Linked DNA regions of Cricetulus griseus. The protein of the gene in region 1 interacts with the protein of each later gene in a pairwise test. Links are inferred from orthologs where the notes say so. Each region holds a gene or a part of one and is shown in the gene's direction. Other genes may lie near its edges.

Region 1 (4,625 bases):
TGCCTGCCTCCCAAGTGCTGGGATTAAAGACTTGTACCACCATGCCTGGCCAAAGTTGTGTCTTAATAAGGTGGTGAAATCATGGTTATTCACTTGTCAGAATTCATGTAGCTATACATTCACAACTATTCATTTCACTGTTCTGTATAGTTACATTTTAATACAAAAGTGTAAAAGCAGTTCTACGATGATGCTATTTTCTTGCAGATCTGCCCATTTCTGCTCCATATTCTTGTGTTACTGATGACTGCAAATTAAGAATGCTGTCAGTGAACTGAACCTTTCTGTTCTGTGTACACACTAATGTCCTGCCTACCCATTACTCACTAGTTTATTTTCCTCAAGCCAACCACTTACAGTCTGTAGATCTGTCTTGGTCTAGAATTGATTTACACCAAATCCCATCACAGAACAACTTGCATGTGACTGACAGGAGGTCACTGTCCTGTCAGTTGGACGACTATGGATCCCACCCCACCCCCTGGCTTTTCAGAACCAACTGGCTTATCAGTTCCGTTTGGAGAAGCATGATCAACCAAAACAGGTGGAGTATGGTGACAGAGACTTCACAGGTGCTCATGCATAAAAGGGCGAACAAGAAAGGCCTGGTAGCAGGTGCGTCAGGGACAGGTTCCGTAGAAGGTGTGCCGCCTAATACGGAAACTACTGGAACCTTATGTCTGTACAGTCACGTTAGCTGGGCTGAGACTTCACCGTACCCACTGAGAGACCACCCGAAGGGGCCTAAAGGTGATCGGAAGGTTGGCGGGGGTGAATTGGGAGGGTGTGGTCCCTGTGCCCCCCCTTCACACCCCCCACCCCCACCCCCGCTTCCAGTCCTGCAACTAGCTAGCTGCAGAACCCAAGGCAAACTACCTACGTCACTCACTGGTTGTAGCTACTGGCGCTTTCCATGTCTGGCCTCTTACTGGTCAGCCGATGCAAAAGAGGGAGGGATAACTAAGTATTCTCCTTCTGATTGGTCAACTCGTGCTGGTTCTTGTCAATTAGAGATAAACCTCGTTCTCTGCCATGTTGGATGGCGTGCTGCAAAGCCTGTCCTTTTCTAGGGCGGTCACACAACAGCCGGTGCTTTCCTCTTCCGTTGTGCCCCAATATGTTGATCCAGTTAGTAAAAATGCGCTCTTTCTGTTTAAAGTTTAGGTGATTAGACCGAAATAAAGCAAGGCTCAGTCCCTAGCCGGAGAGCTGGGTCTCATTCTCGTGAATCTGTTATTATCTCGGCGCCGATGAGACGATCACTGAGCAACTCTCTTGGAAATTACGTTTTATTTTGGCTTGCTGTGGTGGTCATTTGTGTAGCTTCAGATAGTTATGCTTCTAGAATGCCCCGTTCACCGCAGGCTTCTATCAGAAACCATCATTAGACTTTAGGTGGATGGAGGGCTCGGGTTTGTGACAATGAGAAAGGACATTGCGTGTCTTTTGGACCCTCGCACCTCCTGTAGCGTACCTAGTAACCGAGCCCCTAGTAACCGCCCGCCCCAAACCAGGATCTGCGAAGTCGAGGGCGGCGCCAGCTCACCCGCCCCGGGCCGGCGCGGGCGCTCGGGCTCGAGGCGGGAGATGGCTTCGCTGCACCGGGCGGCCAGGCTGGTGTCCGGCAGTCTCCACCTGCCGGTGAATCCCACCACCGAACCAAGGGTCGCCCAGAACGAACGCGAAGACGTCTTGGAGACCTTGGTGTCGTCGGCGTTGGCGGTGGCCTTGGAGGAGGAACAGAAGACAGAGACACGGCCGGCGCGGGCGTTGGTAATGTGGGAGTCGGGCTGGGGCTACGGCTAGTCCTGGTCCTCACCGGCGGCGGGGACCGGTGGAAACGAGGTGCCCTGCTCTCTGCCCCGACTAAAAATTGCTGCAGAACTTTTTTGGAGAGCGTTTTTATAGCTGTTTCTAGAGTGTGCAAAGAACAGAACTTTACTTCCTATTCTCTAGCATATTTTGGGAATAATTGTTTGTTTTTTTGAGACAGGGTCTTTCTATGCAGCCCTGACTGTCCTGGAATTCACCAGGCTGGTCTCAAACTCGCAGAGCTCTGCCTCTGGAGTGCTAGGTTTAAAGGTGTGTGCCATGCCCAGCTTCTATTCACTTTAAAAGTCCAGAACTTTGAGTTTCAGCTAGCACTATGCTGATACAAAGACCCAGACACACAGGCATGTGCCTGCCACACTTGGTTTCCTAGCAGTGCTAGGACTGGATGGAGACTTTTGTTTTGTGCTTGCTAGGCCAGTGTTTGTACTAACCGACCCATGACCTTGGCTTTTTTTGTTTTATTTTAGACAGGGTCTCTTTTGGTCTAGGATGGCCTCAAACTCCTGATCCTCCATCTTCCAAATACTGGGATTAAATGTAATGAGACACCAAGCCTAGCCTGTAGCAAACTTTGAAAAGCAACCAACTTGAAGTTGTTTAGATTAAAGCAGATGGAGAAGCTGAACATGAGTGAGGCTCAGAATCCTAGCACGGGTTTTATACTTGATAAAGCTACCATTCAGTATAAGTTGTAATAGATTACAGAAGACAGAATATTTGATGGAGAGAAGTATTTGGATCCTGGGTGACTTTAGGACATGACTTCCTTTTCCTTATCTATAAAGGACTATAGTTGTCTCCGTTTTTTTTACCTTGTTCAGTTGTTAATAAGAACCAAAGGAAAGCATGAGTGTCATTTCTACGAAGTAATTTACATAAATTAGTAGTAATTATAACAACTGCCAGTTTGAATAATTTACTTGGAAATTAATTTATACTTTGGCTTGTTGTGGCATAAAGATCCATTCTTTGTATAGTTGTAGTTATATTTCAGAGTGCCTGTTAACTAAAGATTTACATTATAAACTTAGTTTGGGTTTCCAGGACCCAAGTAAAAACCTGGTATGTTGGCATTTGTCTGTAATCCCAGTGTTGGAAAGGAAAGAGACAGGCACATCCCTGAAACTTACTGAGAGCCCCCACTCAAAAAGTGAGGTCACACACACACACACACAGAGAGAGAGAGAGAGAGAGAGAGAGAGAGAGAGAGAGAGAGAGAGATTAAGGATTAGCCACCATGGGAGGAGGACTACGATAAGGGTCAGGAGGATCCCATATTCACTGAGAAACAGTGGGTGGCATGTTAGTTGCTGTGATTTCAGATCCTTAAATGTGAAGAATAGAGAACAGTGTATTCCAGAGGGGAGTAGGTGGGAAGATGAGTGACTGTTCCTCTGGTGGTTTCTGTTTTCCTAAAGAAAGGGTTATAAGAGCAATTTGTGGGTACGCCTGGGAGCAGCCAGAGGAGCAAGGGAAATGCAAGCATAGTTGCTGGGGTAATGGGAGCCATTTTCCAAAGGAACACAAGGTGTCGAGCAGGCCAGGTATCACTAGACATTGCTTGGTGTCTATAATTTGGTATTAGCATTCATAAAATGTTGTCTATTGTTTGGAAAGCTACATGTCAGTTATGGTGATAACCACTGAATATAGTCTCCTTTCCAAATATATAATGTTAGCGCATTTAGAAAACTGGGTCAGAAGAACTGTGAGTTTGAGACCAGCCCAGACTACATGGAAAGTTCCAGCCCAGCCCAGGCAACATTGCAAGACCTTGTCCCAAACTATAAACAAACAAACAAATAAATCTCAAACATTAGCTGGCTGCAATGGCTCACAGCTATAATCTCAGTACTTCTGGAGGCTGAGGTATGCATATCTCACTCAACATTGTTGTAAAACTCCTTCCTCCTCCTTTCTTCCTCCTTCTCTCCCCTCTTTTCTTCTCTTTTGGAGTCAGTCTCTCACTGTGTAGCCCTGGCTGGCCTAGAACTCATGGAGACAGGCTGGGCTTCAAAGAGACTTACCGCCCAGATTAAAGTCATGTGCCTCCGTGCCTGGGTCCAAAGGACCTCATGTAGAACAGGCCAGTCTCGAGTCACTATGTAGCTCAAACTGACCTTGAACTCAGGGTCCTTCTGCCTTCTGAGTGCTACCAGGCTCAGCACTGAAAAGAAGAAAAGTTTAGGAAGAATTCCAGAACTTCAGATAAACTCTGTAGACCACAACACAAATAATTCCTCATGGTGCTGACACTAGTACCACCTCAGAGAGGGTTGGTTCATCCGTAAGTGGGTCAAGCCAATCTCAGGATTAGTGCCTTACCTAGTGGTGCTTACAACATGAAAAGCTTAACTATCAAGAGGGGAGAAGATAACCGAGTGTTGCATGTGGTGTCCGGCACACTACATGATCCTGGGGCAAAGGGCGAAGGTAAAACTAGAATCAGGAGTTATTTCGCAGCCATTCATCTGTTCTAGGTTAAAAGTGAAACAACCAGCCGGGCGTTGGTGGCGCCTGCCTTTAATCCCAGCATTTGGGAGGCAGAGGCAGGCGGATCTCTGTGAGTTTGAGGCCAGCCTGGTCTCCAGAGCGAGCGCCAGGATAGGCTCCAAAGCTACACAGAGAAACCCTGTCTCGAAAAACCAAAAAAAAAAAAAAAAAAAAAAAAAGTGAAACAACCAGGAGAGTTTATTTGAGTTTTGCTTGCATTAACAGTGAGTAGCCACATGCAGACCTCAGTGTGTGTGTGCAGCTCCTCAGGCCTGTCTCTGCTTCCACCCTGCTGTGTC
Region 2 (4,867 bases), about 140 Mb from region 1:
CAGGATAGGCTCCAAAGCTACACAGAGAAACCCTGTCTCGAAAAGCCAAAAAAAAAAAAAAAAAAAAAAAAACAAACAAAAAAAAAACAACCAACCAACCAACCAAAATGAATGTGTTGACTAAAGTGTGCATGTTTCATGACATAACTCATTATCTCCATGCTGAAGACCAAACCCAAAGAATGTATCGTGCAGTCTAGAGAAGCCTGCTGCCACTGACTTGCATCCTTAGCCCCTAAGATATCTAAAAAACAAAACAAAACAAAACACCACAGCTAACTCCACATTCCTAAAGCAGTGCACAGAGTTAAAACTTAAGGGCATGAGAAATTTATTAAAACCCGTTGGTAGCCACAGCACACAAATTTAACCTATTGAGAAACTATTTTTTGAAATCACTTTGGTGTATGTACAGTAATTCTGCATTAAAGGTCACTTGGATTAATTATGGAAATCTACACTTGGTTTGAAATCGAAGAGAGAGGGAGTGTTAATTAGAACTCTTCCTTTCCTTGGTGTCAGCTTTTGATTCTGAAAGCAAAAGGCTAATTTTTCATTTGTTCCTTTCCCATTTTAACCTTACATATAAATCAAGCAATAGGATTTTATGAGTGAAGCAAAAAAAAAAAAAAACATAAACTCTGATACCCTCATAAAAATTGTTCTGGGATAAACATTTGCACACCACTTCCTTCTCAAACCGAACCAACCAAATATGCCTTACATTGAGGACATTTATCTCCCTGTAGATAATGTCCAACTCTATCAATTATCCCATTACACTTGAATAAAACAACCTGTTAGAATGGTGTGCTCAATAAAATGGCTCAAAGCAAAGATCTGAGAAGTCTGCCTAACTCTTGCCACACAGTGACTTCTCCAGAAAGCGTGTTCCATCCACCTAGAGCTGTTTATTTCGCGCAGGCCCTAAACTGGAATGCTTCAACACTGCTCTGGCTAAATCCTTCACGAGCACCCTCTAGCACCGCTTTCTCTTAATTCGAAAGGCAGTTAGGATGTAGCAGGACATTTAATGAGCAATGCCTAAGTCCGGCTTTGCAACATCAGTAGGGAATCCACTGAAGAGCTTATCAAGTGGAAAGAGGGGATGACCCATTATAACTCTCAGGTGGGAGCCGAGAAACACGACCAAACAAAAGTTTTAGAGTTTCCTCGAGGATGAAGAAATGTAATATTCAGCTTCATGTTTGGCCAAAGGGGCCTACCAAACAGTAATGAATGACATCCTGACAGGGAGTGTGGTGTGTATGCAAGAGGGAATTCAAATCTCAACTGCAAAACCCAGCTCGCCACAGTTCACCTCACTTTAGTTTTCTAACTGCTGACCTACCTCCGCGACAAGTCATGGTGGAGGCCACAGAATCCAGAGGGCATTATCTTTGCCCTCTGACTTAGGAGAGGAAACTCACCAGTTTCATATTGGAGTTTTGGTTGTTAAGCACCACTCTCTTCACTTCTCAAAGCAGGGAAGCGTTTTCCGGTTCAATCTCCGCCACAGAGAGCATCGCGGGAGTTGAAGTTTTCCTTTCTCACGCACTTTCCGGAGCATCACGGGAAATGTAGTTTTACTGAAGGAATTATGGGAGCTGTGACCGTCTTTCCTTTTCCTCCCTGTTCTCTTTAAACGCCTCCTTCTGCCCCCTTAAATTCGTCGCCGCCGCCAATTCATCCTTCCTTTCCATCCCTGAATGATATCATGACCCCCACCCCCTTCCCGATCTGAAATCCTTGTTATTCTGGGATATGTAGTCCACACTGCTCCAGTTCCCGGCTCCCCCTTCCCTGTGGGAAGGCGTATGGGCGCAGTGCCTTCTGGAAGCTGTAGTTCCCTGGGGCCTCGGACCCCTAGCTCTGCACTTTTCCTCTAGGGAAACGGAAACTACAACTCCCAGGGATGCCCGGCGGCAGCAGGTGGGAGCGGGGCTGTTGCTATCAATATGGCGGTTGTCAGCCAGACAAAGACAGTCAGTCTGATGTGATTGAGACAAGCGAGGTTTTCAGGGGGAGACTGAGAGACAGAGGGCTACCCTCCCCCCTCTGCTCTTCCTGCGCGGGCCTGGAGCCCTCCTCAGCCCCTCCCGCAGGGCGCCCCGCGGTGCAGATCCCCTCCCCCTCCCGTTTTCCTCCTCCCTCCCTCCCTCAGCCTTGCTCTGGGACGCTGGGGAGGGGGCTGAGCCCGGGTGCAGAGAACTCATCTGGGTTTCCGAGGTGAGTGGGGTCGTTTGCGACCCGGACTGCCTTAAGTTCTTTCCTCACTTCTTTCATTACTTTAAGGGGAAAAAATGTTTTGGAGGGGTTTGGGGGGAGAGAAAGTGAGTAGGCGCCACAGATGGGTCTCTGGAGTGGCTGCGTTGGGGAGGGAGCAAGTGAGGGAGAAGGGGGCTCCCGAGGGGGCGGCGGTGCGCGGGCTGTGGGGTGGGGCAGTTTGTGAGGGGCTGGCGCAGAGAGGCGACGGCGGCTCCCTAACTTCTCCCTGGTCTCCAGGACCGGCGGAAGGTTTGAATTCTGGAGGTGGGGTCTTCCTGCTTGCGAGTTTGAGCAACTGTGAGGTGGTTTCGAGGTGTGCTGGTTTGTTTGGGGAGTGTCTCGCTGTTTTAAACTGTGACGTGTACTCGGGTGCTGGGCTCGTCTTGAAGGAATGTCTGTAGATGGTAAGTTAGATAGTCGAAGATAAGCGGCCTGGGCTTGGGAAGCATGCGTGAGTCCCGGGCTGGACTTTTGCTCTGTGGACCTTGTGCAGGCTTTTGGGGGTTCGGCAACTCATTCGTGTCTGGTGGCTAGCTCACACTCCGTGCCCTCTTCTGGGCCAATCTCCACCCCAAACTCCCGACGGCAGGACTGTACAAATGATGTGATGTGGAGATGCATTTTGCCTCCTCAAGTCCGCAGCTAAAGGTGGGAAAGGAAAAGTGTCTCTTAATATTTTATTCCGGAACCGTGTTTTGGTTACACTATTGGGGCTACTTTGAAAGGAGTCCTCTGCCCACCTTTACCCCGAAACAGTAAGTAAAGGTATCTTGTCATCTTCATGCTCAGTGGCTTGCTTGCCAATTATTTAAAATTCGGGGACGTGGGGTTGGGAGTCTGGAGTGCTAAATGGCATATGCATCTGTGTCTACTAATGAGACAGAATGTCTGCTGTGTGCCCTAAGGTAGATAGGGCGACTTATTTTCGTAGTTGAAAAAACTGTTGGAAATTATTTTCGGGGAAGAGGGTTGGTGGTGCGCTGGAAGGCGCTGCATCTATTTTTCTTCTACCCCACCCTGTTCTGTCTCACATTTGCTTGAAAACTGGTATGGAAGAGTGAGGAAGCATGGGTAAGTGAAGCAAAGAATTCACTTAGCAGTAAAGATACATGCCATGTAAAGTTGAAGGATAAAAGTGATTGCTATGTTGTCGGATGCTTAAAAAAAAAGACCTTGTGTGTTGTGTAGGGTACAGTCACGTGCTGCTTTTTCTGGGGACCTACAGATAATGGAAACCTTCGCCTACTCCTTTCCTATCTTCTCTTCCCTTTCTTCCTCCTCCCCCTCCTTCCTTCCTTCCTTGGCACAGAACATTTCTCTTCCTGATGGACATAATAATACCTCCTGTGCTTTTTTTAAAATTTTGCTTACTTTGTGCTAATATGGGTTGTGCTTTTTGTGGTTTCACTATAAAATGCATCATTAAGTGAAAAGAACCCGAATTTGTTGTTATTTCGCATTTATGCCACAAGTAATTATCACATCAGGTTTCTAGTGCTTTGCATTAGACTTATTAAAATTGCACAACTAAGTTGCTAGATCTGGTTGAATTATGCTTATAAGTCAAGTTTAGAAAATCTGATTTTATTTTTCAATTTTCAAATTAGAGTTGGAATGAAACATCTCTTGTTTCTCACAGTCTTGAATATTTAATGACCTTACACCAGGAGAATTTAAGATCATACATTTTGTACTCCCTCAGTCCAAAATACAACTTCTTCAGTGACTGTGTTAATTTTGTTGTATTACAGACTTTTAAATAACCAAAAGAATAATTGGTATCATTTCTATTTGACTTGAGAATTTAACGTATTTGTATATTTGGTCAAAATGTATCAGTTCTTAAATGTTTCATCTATCAGGAAGGGGCTTTTAGATTCCATAGCATCTGAAAGCAACATAGATGCACTGGGATTTTGTGGTAGGTTTAGCCTTTGTTTTGAAATTTTTGCTGTTGATTATTCACACAGATAAGGGGACTGTTAGCATGAAGTTGAGCATTTTCTATTTAAATTGACCTGAATAGAATTTCGTATACTGAATGTGCTATGCCAAGCTCTGCCTTTGGTTTGTTGAAGACAGGGATTTTCAGAATTGCTTGTTTTAAGCCTTACCTTAACCTGAAACATTAATTTTCAAAAACTGGGAGAAAATTCCATGGAACAGTATAATAGCTGCTTACTTGTGTTTTTATGAAATGTGTTCTGATAGTCATGGAATTTTTAAGTGTTTAATAGTCATTTTAGACATGTCAAACTGGAACGCTCCAATCTAGAAAAATGAGTGTTTTTCATCTACCCTTTCCTCATATCTTCTTTTTGTTTATTTTCATCAATGGATATGTGAAGTTATTTATGGGAAAAGCATTTGTTAAACTTTTTCTGACGAGTAGTCTGGTAAAAAAAAAAAAAAAATGACTCCATGTACACCAAGTATTTCTTGCATTCACCAGGCTGATTCTGTTGCTTTTTGAGCACAGGGGCATTAAAATGATGTAAAGCCTTTACTGCAGGCTAAAGCATAAAACATTCTCAGCATGTGAAAGTCATATGGTTTATGAAAAAGAGTGAAGAACCAGGGCATTGGTGCCTGTCCAGCT
Region 3 (4,596 bases), on another chromosome or scaffold:
TGCATGGCAGCTTGCAACTATATGTAACTCCAGTTCCATGGGCTCCAACAAACACTTATGGTCTCTGCATGCATCAAACATGCACACAGTACACATATATGCATTCAGGCAAACATCACCCAAACACATGACATAAAGATCAATAAAAAGAGGGACCTGAGGTGATGGTATGTGTGATAGCATATACCTGTCATCCCAGCGCTTGTGAGGCTGAGACGGAAGCATGGAGAGCTGTACACTAGCCTGTCTCAGAGAGCCCTTGCCTCTAAAATAAAATGCAGGCCAGTGAGATGGTTCAGCAGGCAAGGGCACTTGCTACCAAGCCTTATGACCTAAATTTGATCCTTGGGACTCACGTGGTTGAAAGAGGGAAATGGCTACTGCATGTTGTCCTCTGGCCTCTATTCAAGTTGAGTCATGTACTTATGCAGACGTACTCTTAGACACATAGATACACACAACATAAACAAATAAATGGGATAAAAATCCAAACAAACAAACAAAACACCTTGAATGTCAGCCATGTCTCTGTGATTCAGAGGGGGCAATGGTCCTGTAGTCTCTGTTCCTCACAGCCATCTCTGCAGATATATGGTCTATAGTGAATGGGTGCAAAGCATCAGGAGCCGAGATTTCCACAGCCAGAAAGCTTGGGAAAACTCTTGAGCATTAGCAAGCAGTGGGATGGGATCTTCTCCGTGCAGCTCTATGAAGACCCCCCCCCCTCTCTCTCCAAGCGATCTCACTATCCCTGGCTGCCTGGCTGGTTTGGAACTCAGTATGTAGACCAGGTGGGCCTGGAACTCACAGAGATCACCTTGCCTCTGCTTCCTGAATGCTGGGAATAAAGGCTTGCAGCATCAAGACTGGCTGGCTTTTTATTTTATGTGGGTTCGGGCAGTGGAATGGAGGTTCTCATACTTGCAAGGGTGGCTGAGCCCTTAAATTTTGTGTTTTGTTTTTACATTTGCTTACTCATTTGTGTGTGTGTGTGTGTGTGTGTGTGTGTGTGTGTGTGTGTGTGTGTGTGCATGTGTGTGCATGCATGAGAGTCACAAGGCGTGTACAGGTCAGAGGATAACATTCAGGACCACGTGGGTTCCTAGAACTGCATCTATTTAATGCAGTTCTTCTGGGTCTCAGAGATCGAACTCAGTCGTCAGGGTTGACGGCAGTCGCCTTTGTATTTTTAGAGACAGGGACTCCAACTCGAAGCAATCCTCCTGCCTCAGACTTCTGAAGGCTAGGCCATAAGCTCCAGGCAGGCACCTTGCCCGGTCTCTGTCATCATTTTTCGGTCCTGCAGATGGCCCGGCGCGACTCGGAGACTCAGCAGAACTCTTGGGTCTGAGAGTGGGCGTTCGGGTGACGTCAGCGCACGCGCTGGAGTGACAGCACGGAAAACAGCAGGACTGAAAACTGCGCGCACTTGCCATAGTTCTTTACCTGTGAATCCACCGGTGGGCGGGGCTTGGCCTGGCTCGGGGGCGGAGTGGAGGGTGCGGCTAAAGAGAGAAATAGCCAATTGACGTTCGGGAAAGGCCGCCCTCCCACTACCGCGGAGCTGGCGCATGCGCATAGCTCCGTGGCCGTCTCTCCCTCAGGGGGCGGTGCTGACGCTCGCGCCGACGCGCCGGACGTCAGGCACGTTGACGCCGGCGACGCGCCGGGCCCGGTCCTCTGCGCTCGCCAGTGTCCCGCGGCGGCGGGCCGGCCTTCGTGACGAGCGGGGCGGCGGACCCGGGGGCCGGGCGAGGACGCAGCTGCGGGGCTGCGTGGGTCGGCCCGCAGCCGGCCGCCGCCCGAAGGCTGCCGCGTAGCCCCGGAGCCGCGCCCGCCGGCCAAGGTAAGGGCGGGCGGAGCGGGCCGCGCAGGGTGGCGGGCCGGGGTCGGCGGGGCCGAGTCGGCGGGGTCAGCGGGAGGTGGTCAGCGGGAGGGGGGTCAGCAAGATTGGGATTAGCCTGGCCGAGCCGGGGTCAGCCAAGGCGGGTTGATATCAGTTAGGTCTGAGTCAGCTTAAATTGGCCAGGGTCAGCGAGGTTGGGGGCAGTGAGACTGGGGTCAATTGAGCCAGGCAGGACCAGCGGAGTCCTCGATGGCAGGATCATCCCGGCATGATCAGGTGCACCTGCAGGACATCCCCTTCATCCCCCGCCCTGTGCCCTGGCAATCTCTAGTGCCATCTCACCTTTCTCTTCTCCTTCTTTATTATCTAGTCTTGCTGTCCCGACTTCCTAGATTCTCAGTGTGGAAACTCTCTCTTTTCTTTTGCCCCCTCTTTGACTGTAAACTTATGTAAGTTAGCTTGGCTGACCAACCGTTGCACAGCAGCAGGCCTTTGCAAAAACACCTCTGTCCAGGCCTTAAAGAGCCAATCCAGTTGCTTTTTCCGCTGCTCACCAAATATCCAGCCCCACAAGTCAGGGAGCCCGGCAGTCCTTCCCAGGAGCTGACTGCACACATTCCTGGAAGATGCCTTGGTCCATAGCGCTGGTGCTTGTCAGTTCTCAGCCGTCTTCTGGTGTTGAGGGAATATGTTTTGAATGTCTCTTCCTGGAGAAGAACAAAATAAGTTAACAGAAGCCCACTGTCTTCAGCTGCTGAGAGTGCGGATTTTCAACAGACTCCGCTGATTTGCCCTGGGTGGGAGAGGTGAGCATTCCAGCTCCCCTTGCTCCTGGGACTGTGGCATCCATCTCCCAGTCTGCTCTTCCTGTTGGTCCGTGCATGCTACTTGCCATAGTGTGTGCATCCAAGGTGAGCAGCTCTGACAGTGTGGGACTTGTCAGCATTTGCTCATCAGCCACAGGTGGTGCTCGGAAAGCTGCAGGCTTGTTCTGCACCTACTGACTATTGTCTGCATCTTTCCTGTTTCAAGATGATGTGCGAGGTGATGCCGACCATTAGTGAAGCGGAAGGCCCCCCAGGAGGAGGTGGAAGCCGTGGGTCAGGCTCCCCTTCACAGCCAGATGCTGATTCACATTTTGAGCAGCTCATGGTCTCCATGCTGGAAGAACGAGACCGCCTTCTGGACACTCTGAGAGAGACACAAGAAACACTGGCGTTAACCCAGGGGAAATTGCATGAGGTTGGTCATGAAAGAGATTCCTTGCAGAGGCAGCTCAACACTGCGCTTCCACAGGTATGCCAACCAAACTGAAACCAAGGTGTCTGCCACTAAATGTCTGTGGGATGATCTTGTTAATGTGTTAGCTTGCTGACTGTTTTGTGTAACCACTAGGAAAGTGATGTTTCTGGTGGGTTTTTGTTTTGTTTTGTTTTGTTTTTGTTTTTCGAGACAGAGTTTCTCTGTGTAGCTTTGGAGCCTATCCTGGCACTCGCTCTGGAGACCAGGCTGGCCTTGAACTCACAGAGATCCACCTGCCTTTGGCTCCCAAGTGCTGGAATTAAAGGCATGCGCCACCAACGCCCGGTTTCTGGTGTTTTCTAAGCACAGGTAAAATTCCCATGGAATTCAGTTTGGGAATAAATGGGTATTCTCCAAAGCCATGTGACCACACTGCTGCACTGTTGTGCCTTTTTGGGTAACTGCCTAGATTTGGGAATGTGTTTCAGAGTTGGGTTTTTGTTGTTGCTGTTTTGTTTGGTTTGGTTTCTCTGTGTAGCCTAGGCTTACCTAGAACTCACACTGTAGACCAGGATGGCCTTGAACTCAGAGATCAGCCTGTCTCTGCCTCCTCAGTGCTGGGATTAAAGGTATGCACCACCAGAGTACCTGGCTATGCTTTGACTGGGGCTGTGAAGCAATGAGCTATGTAGTGTCTCCCATTCTGTGTCTTAGACTTGTCCATGCCTGCTGTGGACCTGTGAGGAGTGGATCTCTGGGATTTTATGTCTTAATCCTGGTTTGTGTCTTGTGGATTTCCAATTTCCTGAGGAAATCTTGTGGATAACTAGGACTGATTCCATTGGTAAAGTCTTCAGAGGCTTTCTTGAACATTACAAGAGCTGTAATGAAACTTTGTTTCAGGGGAGAAATGATTGAACATTGAATCCCAAGGCTCCTCCTCTTCCTGGGTAGATGAGACTTTCAGAGCTTGAAACACCTTGTGTATCTTTAGTATTACATCTGAATTGGTGTGCTAGAGCCTTCTCTTCCAGAGTCAGTGGTAGGGGAAGGAGAAAGTGGGATAGCCTGCAAAACCCAAGGTGAAAGGCACATGGAACAGGGGTTGCTTAGCTTTGTGCTGACGAGCCCACTTTGTTCATTCGTGATCGGTATCTTCATGGTGCTCAAGGAAGCTGCACTTATGCTCTCACGGTGGGGTTGCAGAGATCAGTTCGCAAGTGAATAATCACTGCCTTGATGCATCTCTTGGCTGTAGTCATTTCTGTAAGATTGGACTAAACGTTTGAATGTCCTTTTTAGAAACAATTTGGTATTAGTGTTGTGTGCTGGGAGTTTTTGTTTGGGGGCTAGAGAATCATTTCTTCCTGGAGTCTTAGGAATTAGCAGGTTAATTAGGTCAGATTTTGTTGTCACGTGTTGAAGAGGTTTTTAAGATGCTGTGAGTTCCAATTGCTCTGCTTTGCAATTGTGTTTGTTGCAGCAGTGTTTGGCCAACGCTTAGGTTT
Region 4 (4,552 bases), on another chromosome or scaffold:
TAGAATTTAAAATATGGATTCTGGGGAACCCACTTCCATTCATAACACAAGGCGTTTACAGACCCTCACTTTTCAGAAAAGGGAACCAAGGCTTGGGGGACTCAGAGGCCATGTGTTCTGGGTCCCTTGTGGGTAGTCTAGCCCTACTTTGAGAACTCAGCTTAGGCTGGGTCCTCTCAGCCTTCTCTGGCCATTTTCATATACACGGGGGCCCCAGTTCCCCCATCACCTTAGGAAACTCCCAGGAATATGACTGAGTAAGGCAGAAACAAGGGTGTGAGCATATTTCTGGCTTGGGTCTGCCTCTTGGACTCCACAGCTAAGGCAGGAGCTCTGAATTAGGTAGCAAAGAGTTGACAGCTGGTTCTTCCTCACATTCTAATAGAACGAAAGGCCCTTAGGGGTCCAAGAGATTCAGATATGGCTGAGGAGATAGCAGCGGAAGGACAAAGGCAAGCTGTCTGGGGGAGGGTTCAGATCAAGCACCAAGCATGCTATCAGGAAGTGGGAACAGCGAGTACAAGGGAAAGACTGATGGGGTTAGGAAGACTACAGAATGTAAGGCAGGAAAGTAGGAATGACGCTAGACCACTGGATGCTGCCCTCCTGGAGCACGGGATTCCCAGACACTCCCCATCCCTTGGGAACTGTGCTGGCTGAGGTGTGTGAGTCAGTGCTGGCTTCTGACCCAGGGCTGGGCCACACAGTTTACCTATTTATTTATTTATTTATTTATTTATTTTGTGTGATGGTGCGAATGCACACCACAACATATGGAAGTCAGAGAAAAACTCAAGGGAATTGGTTTTCTTCTTCCACTATGTAGGTCCCAGAGAGCAACTCTGGTCATCAGGCTCGCCCATCCACTGAGCCATCTCCTTGGCCCTCAGATAACCCGAGGATTTAAATGACTAGCTAAGACAGAAACAGAGGCACGCCTGCAACAGACGCAAGCCTGATGTTGGGCTCATGCAGGCCCTTCCCAGTAACCTGCTTCACTCCATTCAACTCTACTTAGTCCATGAAAGCCTGGGTCCTGCATAAACGCTCACCTTTTGATGCCTGAGGTATCAGGGCAAACCCTGGAGAGCACTCAATGTGGCCCCTCACCCAGAGCTCCGAAGTACGACCGATCCCTTCACTTAGCGCCCCCCCTCCCCGCCTGGTGATCGGCCCCCGGTGCAACCTCCCTCCAACCTTGCCATGTGCAGTCCACTGCACCCTTGCCATAGTCCCAAGTGCAGGCTACACTAACGCAATGCAGGAAAGATCTGCGTCCACGGAGCAACTCCCCACGCCCGACTCGCAGGCTCTCCACCTGAGCTCCCAGCCCGTCCGCCTGCCGGCGCCTCCTCGCAGATGAAATTAGCCCTTTGGGGCTACAAGATGGGCACCCTGGGGACCCTCAGGCCACCTGGGGGGAGGACACAGAGCGCCACAGGTGCGGGCTTTTGCACTACTCAGGGAGTCCCACAGGTCAGCAAACCCTATTCAATGCCAGTGTGGACCCCGCGGAGGTCGGAACTCTGTGTTGGGGTTCCTGTTTCTGCACGGAGGGATCGGAGCGATGCTCACAGTGCACCCGGACCCAGGCCGCGGACTCCAGTCGCTATGGTAACGTGGCCCGCGCTAGAGGTGCGACCGGAGGGCGGGCGAGCGGGCGAGCTAGTGCTGGCGCTCGGAATCCCGGCGGCCCCAGAGCGGGCTGGCGCGGTGCCTGGTCGCGCGCCGGGAGGCGACGAGGATTTCGCTGGGCCCTGCCGATGGAGCACGGGGTGAGTGGCATGGCCATCGCTTCAGGTTCCGGCTCCCGTGGGGCTTTGACCCAGGCTCCCCAGACGCCTCCCTCAGGAAGTAGTAGCCTCGGGCGACCATCGCGAGGCCGGCAGCGGCACTGGGTGCAGGGTGCCCCGAATCAGCACGTTAGCCGCAGTGTTCCCCCTGCTCTGCAGCCTGGATCAGCGCCGCGCTGCCCCGCTGACTTCATAAGTCCGTTATTTTGTAGACTGCATCTCATCCTCGGCTGGCCCGATATTTAACATAAGATTGAGTTACTAACATTTAGCATTCTGCCCTCGTGCCTCCCAGGAGACAGTGGTGTCTATCAAATGGCTATCATAAAGTTACTGTTTTCTTCTGGGCACGCCTTTAATCCCAGCATTTGGGAGGCAGAGGCAGGCAGATCTCTGAGTTCGAGGCCAGTCTGGTCTGCATAGTTCCAGGACACCCATGGCTAAGTAGAGACCCTGTCTCAAAAAAAGTAACTAAATAAGCAAAGTTAGGTTACTATTTTCCCGTTATAAATAATAAATACCTTTCGGGGGAGGTGCTTGCTTGTGTAAAGTCCTGCTTCTAGCCGTGTTTTCAGTGACTAATTTTAGCATACATCAGTGAAAACTTCCTGATTTTTTTCATTTAATTTCACGTTTTATTCTTTCATTGCTTTGTTTGGTTTTGGTTTTTCGAGACATGGTTTCTCTATGTAGCCTTGGCTGTTATGAAAATCACTCTGTAGATCAGGCTGGCCTCTAACTCGAAGATCTGCTTGCTTCTGGTTTCTGGGTCCTGGGTTTAAAGGCATACACCACCACCACCCAGCCATGTTTTATTCTTGCTATGTTGGGTAGAGAAAAGGAATCACAAGTTAGCCGAATAAACCATTCAGACCTTTCAGGATAAACTGGGATCTAGTTTCCAAAGGTCTTTATTTAGAACCAGGATCAGAGTAGGTTTCAACCACTGCTCTGGCATCTGCGGCCCTGGGAGAGCCACAGAAAACAGGCACAGAATGTATTCTCCAGGGCTCCTGTCTGGGTACAGGGCCAGTCCTCCATGAAGATAGCAGGTGAAGGAGACTCAGCAGCTCCAAGGGATTCAGGATGACACAGGCCTGGGGCTTGTCATGAAGAATGAGATTATTGATGTCCCCACAGATCAGACCTCACAGGTCACTGTCCTTCCACCTATATCCTGGAATTATTTATGAAACTCTTCCATGAGCACCAGGCAGGAATTTACTCCTTAGCTTCAGAAATAGACCAATATAAGCCCATTGTCTTAGTCACTGTTTTATTGTTGTGAAGAGACACCTGACCAAGGCAAGTCTTATAAAGAAAACATATGAGGGAAAAGGGGCCAGCTGATGAAACACAGCCTGAGCAGAGCCAAAAAGAAACACACTTTGGCCTGGCAACTAGAACCAAAGAAACACACCCTGACCCTGAAACCAGTGCCAAAGAAACGTGCTTTGTCCCTATAATCAGAGCCAGTGAAAGAAATACATCCTGGCCCTAAAATTAGAGCCAAAAGGCTAAAAAGGACCAGTGAAAGAAACACACTTGGGCCCTGAAACCAAAACCAGATCTGTCCTGCCCCTGAGCAGAAAACCAACCAATCCCTGAGCACTTAGCATGACCCAAAGCCCCTGGCAGATACTAACTACCTGGTCCATTACAGAGCAGCTGTCAGGCCCTGTTCTAGGTGATTTAGAATTTACAGGAAGACCTGCCACAAAGCTGTGCCCACTGTCCAATGGAAAAATCCATTATTTCCTGTGAAATGCACTCTTGTTTCTTTAGTTCTGATGATTTGGACTGTAATTTAAATTTTCATTTATTTTATGTCTGTGTGTATGCTTGTGGAACCATATATACGAAGGAGCTTGTGGACTCTAGAGGAAGGCATCAGAGCCCCTGGAATTGGAGTTACAAATGCTTGTGAGTGGTCATGTGGGTTCTGGAAAAGGAACCAGGCCCTCTTCAAGAGCAGCCAGTGCCCTTAACCACTGAGCCATCTCTCCAGCCCGACTGTAACTAATTTTTGTTATCAGTAATTTCATGAATGAACTTTTCTCTAAGTAGTATCCTTGCTTATATAAAGAGCACCTAGGAGCTGGAGAGATGGCTCAGAGGTTAAGAGCACTGGCTGCTCTTCCAGTGGTCCTGAGTTCACAATTCCCAGCAACCACATGGTGGCTCACAACTATCTATAAGATCTGGTGCCCTCTAGAACACTGTATACATAATAAATAAATAAAATATTTAAAAAAGAGCAGCTACTGGCTTAGGAACTCTGAAGTTGGTGTAAACACATAACACAATATACCCTAACTCACCTGAACTCACTCACCTATATTACATCACACACAGCACACACACCTTGCTATAACATACTCACATACCTTCACAGCACCACACATGCATACACATAGCCTACAGACAACACGTATAATGCCACGTTCTTCACACACGCACCGTGCCCTCTCCTACATGCATACGTACATCACAACACAAAAGCAAACCCCTGTGGTCCCCCTGCCCCTATTATGAGTTTTATGTCTGTGGTTGGTTGATTATTGTTGATTTGAGTATAGGTGAGGCAACCCCCATCATCTTCACTTTGGCTCTCTTTCAATGTGTTTGCTGTCACTATTCATCTCTGTAAATATACTTCTAAAGAAGACCGACTCTCAGAGAGTCAGACTGCTACCTTCTTTGGGGTGACAGTGATACACAAACGTAACTGCCGGATGCCTCCATGTGCCCTGGGAAGG

What was found. The genes of interacting proteins can lie anywhere in the genome.
Region 2: the proteins of Fam161a (region 1) and Hmbox1 interact in binary tests that used the Homo sapiens proteins (3 or more experiments, as listed by UniProt). The two-hybrid records come from large-scale screens. The link is inferred for Cricetulus griseus from reciprocal best matches to the Homo sapiens genes FAM161A and HMBOX1.
Region 3: the proteins of Fam161a (region 1) and Ppfia1 interact in binary tests that used the Homo sapiens proteins (3 or more experiments, as listed by UniProt). The link is inferred for Cricetulus griseus from reciprocal best matches to the Homo sapiens genes FAM161A and PPFIA1.
Region 4: the proteins of Fam161a (region 1) and Ccdc57 interact in binary tests that used the Homo sapiens proteins (3 or more experiments, as listed by UniProt). The two-hybrid records come from large-scale screens. The link is inferred for Cricetulus griseus from reciprocal best matches to the Homo sapiens genes FAM161A and CCDC57.

What each region holds. Positions count from the first base shown.
Region 1 is NW_023276807.1:83,751,565-83,756,189, reverse strand, and holds the start of Fam161a (protein FAM161A), read left to right. Parts: upstream 1-1,516; 5' UTR 1,517-1,587; coding exon 1,588-1,773; intron 1,774-4,625. UniProt on the Homo sapiens protein: Involved in ciliogenesis.
Region 2 is NW_023276807.1:219,978,871-219,983,737, reverse strand, and holds the start of Hmbox1 (homeobox-containing protein 1), read left to right. Parts: upstream 1-1,915; 5' UTR 1,916-2,229; intron 2,230-4,867. Other genes in the region: Ints9 (integrator complex subunit 9), read right to left, coding at 1,431-1,439. UniProt on the Homo sapiens protein: Binds directly to 5'-TTAGGG-3' repeats in telomeric DNA. Associates with the telomerase complex at sites of active telomere processing and positively regulates telomere elongation.
Region 3 is NC_048596.1:56,801,456-56,806,051, forward strand, and holds the start of Ppfia1 (liprin-alpha-1), read left to right. Parts: upstream 1-1,644; 5' UTR 1,645-1,846; intron 1,847-2,734; exon of another isoform or gene 2,735-2,757; intron 2,758-2,878; coding exon 2,879-3,142; intron 3,143-4,596. UniProt on the Homo sapiens protein: May regulate the disassembly of focal adhesions. May localize receptor-like tyrosine phosphatases type 2A at specific sites on the plasma membrane, possibly regulating their interaction with the extracellular environment and their association with substrates.
Region 4 is NC_048600.1:133,406,016-133,410,567, reverse strand, and holds the start of Ccdc57 (coiled-coil domain-containing protein 57), read left to right. Parts: upstream 1-1,600; 5' UTR 1,601-1,775; intron 1,776-4,552. UniProt on the Homo sapiens protein: Pleiotropic regulator of centriole duplication, mitosis, and ciliogenesis. Critical interface between centrosome and microtubule-mediated cellular processes. Centriole duplication protein required for recruitment of CEP63, CEP152, and PLK4 to the centrosome.